Linked DNA regions of Drosophila melanogaster. The protein of the gene in region 1 purifies or fractionates together with the protein of each later gene. This does not show direct contact. Each region holds a gene or a part of one and is shown on either strand. Other genes may lie near its edges.

Region 1 (3,957 bases):
TACACGTTGCTCAGAAAATCAATTTTTATTGAATAGGTCCTACTACTAATTAAAACTAGGAAAACTATCAGCTGCTCCTCGCCTTCTTGTTGGCCTTGATCAGCTTGGCCTTCAGGGCCTTCACGTCCACCTTGCTGGAGGAGGAGCCATCCTCCTTCTTCCGACTTGAAGCAGCTGACTCCTCCGTGGGCGGGACAAAGTCCTTGTTTCGGCGTTCGTCCTGGCGCTTGGCCGCCTCCTTCTGCTTTTCGGTGCGCTCCTGGTTGCGCTTCGCTTGCTTCTGCTCCTGGTTGAGGAAGTACTCTCCGCTGGCCAGCTGCTTGTCCACCTTGCTCTCCGGCTGGCTGGGCGGGAATGGGGTGTACTCCTTCTTTTGCTTCTTGACCTTCGGCTGCTTGCGTTTGCTAATGTTTTTGTTCTTGAACTTGGGCAGGAATCGGGACCAGTCCTCGTTGGCCAGACGCGGATCCTTCATCAGCTCCCGCTTGATCATCAGAGCCTTAATGTTGTATATGGGGTGCACATTGTTCATGGTCTCCAGGACTATATCCCGCACCTGCTGAAGGCCCTTGTAAGGACCCAAGGCGGAGACTGTGTTTCCTTGAACCAAAACGTAGCAATCGGTGAGCAGTTCAATGGACTTAAGGGTGGCGCCGTTAGGTCCGATCAAACGCTGTCGCCGCTTCACGAACTTCTCCTTCTTGTGCACAAGGTTTCCGATTTTGATGATGTCACACCCAATGTCGTCCTGCAGGACCCGCTTGGCCTGCTCGAAGGGAACACTTCTGGCCATCAGCTTGATCATATCCCGCGCCTTGATGATGATGTAGGGATCCCAGGTCTTGCGACTGGTCTTCACCACCATGCTCCCCTCCATCAAATCTAGCTCCGCCTTCAGGTGGTGCTCCGCCAAGCACTGCTCCACCAGAGGCCAAACCTCCTTAAGATAGCGCTCCCGATATTTGGGAAACAGCGTGGCGAAGGAGCTCTCCTCCACCATCCCATGCGGGTTGTCCTCCTGCCTGAAGGCAGGGATCTTCATGGACCACGCATTGTCCACCGGCTCGGTGCTGATTTTGGTCTCCTCCGCTTCACTTTCGCTCATCGTTACTCGAGTTTTCAGAAGCTAATTCTACAGGTAAGATTCTTGCACGCTTGTTTTGGCCAGGCTGCCAGATCAGCGGTAAATGCGTGTGACCATATCAGGGAAAACTGGTTGGTTAATATTATTGATAGATTACCTATTTAAAGGTTTATTTTTATCTTGATTATAAAATAAATTTTTCGATTGAGAATGTTTTAAAATATATATTCAAATACAATTATATTTGATCGTGTGCCAGATAAATGCCTTAACAAAATTGCGATTCCAATGTAACTCAAATATTAAGGATATTGGGTACATCAATACTAATAAAATATGCAATTCTGAATATCTAAAATATAAGAAATAAGTCAAACAATACATGATTTAGCCCTGACACCTTCACAAATTTTATTTAATTGAAAAAGAGCTCAGGGTATCTATAACTTATGCCATTATATGTGTTAGAATAATTAAGATGAATTAAAATCTTAATTCAATAAATTTCTTTTTATAGCATTCGCTATTATCCACCGTGGATAGTTTTTGAAACTGTTAACGGGAAACTAAATCCATTTATATTAAAAGTGTTTTTAAGTAAATAATTATTGTTTGTACTTTCAAAATAGGGGTATTAATTAGATTACCATATTCCGACTATGCGTTTTGGTATTTTCTAAACAAACTTTTATTTTCAAGCAAGGAAAGGTCACACGATTTTGTGAGCCTAAGCAAAGCGCACGCAGGAGTTTTCGGAGAGATAGAAAAATCGTCGCCAATTAAATATTTAACAAATTGTAAGGCCGATAAACAATTGTACATTTAATATATATTTTCTGGAAGGCTTATTACCGATTTGCTCGACCTAAGTGTGCGGACCTAACCGCATGTCCAATTTTGGGGCGTGGACGTGAACGAAAGCCGATAATTAGGATTAAACAAAGAAAAATCAATATAAAGTGGCCGATATTGTTGAAGTTGCTATTAAAAGACAATTTTCTAGCATTTCCCTTGGCTGCGGATTTAATTACGCCTTTGTGAAAAATTGTGAAAATCAAAATGGCGTCATTGTTGTGTGCGTGGCAAGGCGCTGCCAACCTGCTTTAACAGAAAAACTAAGTAACTTTCACATTTTGCTTGTACCTAAAGTCAAATTTGGGTTGTAACCAAAAACGAGGTAGAGAGACATTTGTGCTACAAACGTTCAGACGAACGCATGTTTTCGTATCAATACCAATACGTCGTAATATATAATTTTCGGTTTTCTGAGAGTGGACAGCCTTCAGGGCTGCACTGGCTTATCGATTACCGATAGCCGCGAGCACACGTCCGAATTTCATCAGTGCCTGAAAAAATCGCAACGCGTAAAACACGTTTTCTGCAGCTCCAAAACAAAAAACAAAACATTCAAGCGGAGGGATTATTGGTTTACTGCCAGTTGAGACAATAAAATAACAGCATTTATCATATTTTGGCGCTGCTGCTGGAATTTATTTAATACTCGTCTTAAAAGTGAATTGTAGGGATATAGCAAAATTTTATCCTGCTAAATTTGTTCTCAGACTGGTGTTTTCTCCTATTTTAGATACTATTGCAGTCCTTGAAAAAGCGAATTCTTATGGAATTACGTAATCAGTGGAAATTTAGTATCTATTAAGACACCCATACCAACAAAAGCGAGTGTCGGTGCACACACGCACGATCCAACACACGCGCACACGTTGCGTATGGTCACACCTACAAGTGTGGAAGAGAGACGGCTATAGGGAGTTAGCGTTGCCAGATAAATTTTCTTCTTTCGCACGACTAACAAAGAAAATGGTGAGTTATATTGGCTAGGAAATGCAACAACAGTTGTGCTTTATTTAATGTTTTTATTCGACAGCCTCGTATAGTTCCACTGCAATTGCTGAGGTGCCTGCGGGTGCTTTTGGACAATAATGGTGGAATTTTAAGTGCAGTGGAGGTGAAACGCATTTCGGGGTAAGTTCACCACTTGTCAGCAGCGACACCTATCGGCGTTTGCTAATATCAAGTTTTTCGCCCACAGTTTGATGGCCAAGTATTCAAAAAAACTCGTCTCGAAATGTGTGTATGTACAAATTCTGAAATCCACAAAGACGGAACTATTGGGCGACTTTATGGCGGTGGGCGGTTGGTCGCTGGTCTACACCTGGTTAAATGATGCCATCAGGGCCATGAACTGGCCGCTGGTACAGGAGATCCTGGAACTGCTGCTCCTTTCTCCCGTGGATGTCAATCGCCTCAAGATAAACTCAGCACCTATTCTGGTCAAGGGGCTGTGCAAGGATGGCGGCAACGAAGGTAAGTTTTCTTTGATAAGTCTTACTCTAGTCGTAGATTAGTGTTTTTGGGTCATGTTTTGGGCTGTCCTTTATGCTTTTAATTACCTAGGGATTACTAATTGGCTTTTCTCGACCCCGTTTTCCAGGTGTACGCATTCTAGCCAAGCGTTTGGTAGAGCAGTGGCTGAAGATTGTGACGGAAAACACAAGCATGACGATCCAAGGTGCTGCGCCACATATTGCAGCCACTACTGCCTCTCAGGTTCCTGCATCCGTTTCTGGAGCTGGCTCCGCTTCAGTTCCGGACTCTGCCTCTTCTTCAGACAGCACTGATAGCGCCGGAGCACCTGTGACGTATACCATCACCTCGGCGGCCAACAGTAGCAATTCCAACAGCATTACCATCAAGTGGAAGCCTTTGTTGGACAACCCAGATGGTGGCGACGAAACGGATTCTGGCACACAATCGAAAGACAACGAGGTGGAACATCTGGAAAAGGGCTCCTCCGCAACCCACTTATTAGCAGATGCTAGTCTGGGGAAAAAGTCCGGGTTAGATGATAGTAG
Region 2 (3,336 bases), 7.5 Mb from region 1:
AGGCGGATCTAACGACAGCCAAGTTTATACTATATTATGGGTAAGAACTAATATTATTATTAGTAAATATGAAGAAAAATTATACATAAAGCCATGTTATTGCACTAATATCCAAATTTCTTAAATATATTCAAGTATTCACCTATAGCATTATCTTTTATTCACAGACCCACGGTGGCAGATAGCGATATCTATGACCTAACCGATTTCCAGAGTCTTCTGGAGGACGAGCACTTGGATTTGGGCAAGAACACCGTGCTCTATTTGCACGGCTACTTGGAAGATCCGGATGTGGAGAGCATTCACGTCATAGCCGAGGCCTATCTGGAGCGAAAGGATACCAATCTTATCGTCCTAGACTGGGGTGAACTGGCCGATGGCAATTACATGTTCGATGCCTTCCCGAACCTCAAACAGCTGGGCCCAGAGTTGGCCAAGGTCCTGCTCAAAATGTTCGACCATGGCCTGGACATTGAGAAGTTCCACATTGTCGGACACTCGATGGGCGGCCAGCTGGCCGGACTCCTCGGCCGAGAGATTACTAAACGCACCAAGGGTGTCAGAAAGATAAAAAGGTAAAATGAAAGAGGTTTGATTTCAAATTATTTATTCATGCTCGGTTCGATTTTAGTCTATGCCGACGTCATGATATACGATGTTTAATATACGATATTTAGTTAATAATTTTAATGTCCAAAGCTTAACACTTTTGTATTACCATATGGTAATACAAAAAGTTTTTTTTTAGAATCGTTGTTCGGCAAAGTTTATAAAGTTTATATTGAATCCTTTTCTTGTCTCACTTATCTCCAATCTTCTTTTATAGAATTTCCGCTTTGGATCCCGCATTTCCGCTCTTCTATCCGGGCACGCACCTGTCTGCCAATGATGCGGAGTTCGTCGACGTGATACACACGGACGCCTGGCTGTACGGAGCTCCGACGAGCACGGGCACGGCGGATTTCTGGCCAAATGGTGGATACAGCCTGCAGCCTGGCTGTCCCAAGCGAAACTACAAGATGCTCAGCGACAACGATCTGTCCAGTCATCGGAGGAGCTGGTGGTTCTGGGCCGAGAGCGTTTCGGATCGATATCCCATTGGATTCGATGCTGTGCCCGCCAAGAAATGGTCGGACTTCAAGCAGAACAAAATAGTAGAGAATTGCCCGCCCGTGGTGATGGGTCATCATTGTCCCACGACGTAAGTTTCTACTTGCCTTATATGCATAGCGCAGAATTTAGTTTCATCATTTGAAATTGTGATTTTCAGAATTCATGGCGACTTTTACTTACAAACCAACGGACATACACCTTTTGCTCGAGGCAAGGAGGGCACTGTCTACGTTGACCCCAAGGATCTGCTGGGAAATACCCACAGCATCACCTGTGACTGCCCGTCGGAGAAAACGAATTAATAAGACCATCTACAATTGCACTGTGTACATTATGAAATGTAGCTATATTAATATTGTTGTTTCTATGACGCCTTACACCACATTTTGATTTACGAGAAAAATATACTTAAATTTTGTTGTTGAAAAAAACTTTGCATTACTTTGGGGTATTTATACATTATTATTGCACTATTTGGGGTTTTAAATGAGTTTTATTAATTACTTTTTTTGAATGGATTTTTTGAACTTTCAAATAATTTAAATCTGGTTGCTGGTTCCGCTCTTGCAATTCATTCCGGAACCAGTTCGAAAGTTGCGATATCGATAACACAGCTATCGACCCGTCAACCTCTGCCACCGATAACATTGTTTGCAACAATTGAGCATATTGACAACAAAACGAAATTCGACAGGCTAAAATGAAGATAAAACTAATAGATTCGGTGGTGCGCAGTTTTAAGGTGGCCAAGATCTTCCGAGAGAACACGGACAAGATCAACGCCATCGATTTTGCGCCCAACGGCGAACATCTAATATCCTGCAGCGAGGATGACCAGATCGTGATCTACGACTGCGAAAAGGGGACGCAGTCGCGCACGGTGAACTCGAAGAAGTATGGAGTGGATTTAATCCACTTTACGCACGCCAACAACACGGCCATCCATAGCTCCACCAAGGTGGACGACACCATACGCTATCTCAGCCTGCACGACAACAAATATCTGCGCTACTTCCCCGGCCACACCAAGAAGGTTATCTCGCTGTGCATTTCGCCGGTGGAGGACACCTTTCTCTCCGGCTCGCTGGACAAGACGCTGCGCCTGTGGGACTTGCGCTCGCCCAACTGCCAGGGACTGATGCATCTCTCTGGACGACCCATTGCTGCCTACGATCCCGAGGGCTTGATCTTCGCCGCTGGCGTTAACTCGGAAAGCATTAAATTGTACGACCTTCGCTCTTTCGACAAAGGCCCCTTCGTCACATTTAAACTTAATCAGGAGAAGGAATGCGACTGGACTGGCCTTAAGTTCTCCCGTGACGGCAAAACAATTCTGATCAGCACGAATGGATCGGTCATCCGGCTCGTAGATGCCTTCCACGGCACTCCGCTACAAACGTTCACGGGCTATCCAAACAACAAGGGCATTCCCATCGAGGCAAGCTTCAGCCCAGACTCGCAGTTCATCTTTTCAGGCAGCACCGATGGACGAGTGCACATCTGGAATGCCGACACTGGCAATAAGGTGTCCGTACTGAATGGTGACCATCCGGGACCGGTGCAATGCGTTCAGTTCAATCCAAAATACATGATGCTGGCGTCCGCGTGCACCAACATGGCTTTTTGGCTGCCCACATCCGAGGAGGGCTTGTAGGCAATGATTCCCGCTTGCTTAGCTTATAAGATTACAATTTAATTTATAAATAATAAATCAACATAACATAAACAGAGGCCTCTAACTGGATTCCTGGGGCTGGTCCTTGTGGCGGTCGTATCCTCTACGTATGCTGTTCAGGAGTTGTCCAAGATTATGACCCATTTTGGCACTAATGCCGAGCACGGGATTTTGCAGGCGACGTTGCAGTTCCTCAAAGTTGTTTTGGCCCTCTTCCACGTCCAGCTTATTGGCCACCACCAATTGCGGGCGACTCGCCAGACGTCCGCCAAACTGGCGGAGTTCGTGCATTAGCTGCTCATAGTGCGTCCATGGCTCCGGTGCACTGGCATCTAACACGAACAGCAACAAGGTGCAACGCTCGGCGTGCTTTAGGAACTGTATGCCCAAGCCCTTATTGCGATGAGCATCGGGCACGAGTCCGGGAAGATCGGCAATGGTGAGCTGGACATGATCATCGTACTGGACGGTTCCCAAGTGCGGACGCAGCGTGGTGAAGGCGTAGGGAGCAACCTTTGGCTTGGCCCGTGTCAGTGCATTCAGTAGGG

What was found.
Region 2: the proteins of PNUTS (region 1) and Wdr82 purify together in Drosophila melanogaster (affinity purification with western blotting, with the first as the bait; one study listed by BioGRID). This does not show direct contact.

What each region holds. Positions count from the first base shown.
Region 1 is NT_033779.5:868,672-872,628, forward strand, and holds the start of PNUTS (phosphatase 1 nuclear targeting subunit), read left to right. Parts: upstream 1-1,793; 5' UTR 1,794-1,881; exon of another isoform or gene 1,882-2,669; 5' UTR 2,670-2,902; coding exon 2,903-2,905; intron 2,906-2,969; coding exon 2,970-3,067; intron 3,068-3,134; coding exon 3,135-3,409; intron 3,410-3,536; coding exon 3,537-3,957. Other genes in the region: dbe (dribble), read right to left, coding at 68-1,105.
Region 2 is NT_033779.5:8,372,714-8,376,049, forward strand, and holds Wdr82 (WD repeat domain 82), read left to right. Parts: upstream 1-1,747; 5' UTR 1,748-1,813; coding exon 1,814-2,767; 3' UTR 2,768-2,836; downstream 2,837-3,336. Other genes in the region: CG17292 (uncharacterized protein), read left to right, coding at 1-40, 168-575, 827-1,201, 1,271-1,415; CG13390 (uncharacterized protein), read right to left, coding at 2,849-3,336. UniProt on the Drosophila melanogaster protein: Component of the SET1 complex that specifically di- and trimethylates 'Lys-4' of histone H3.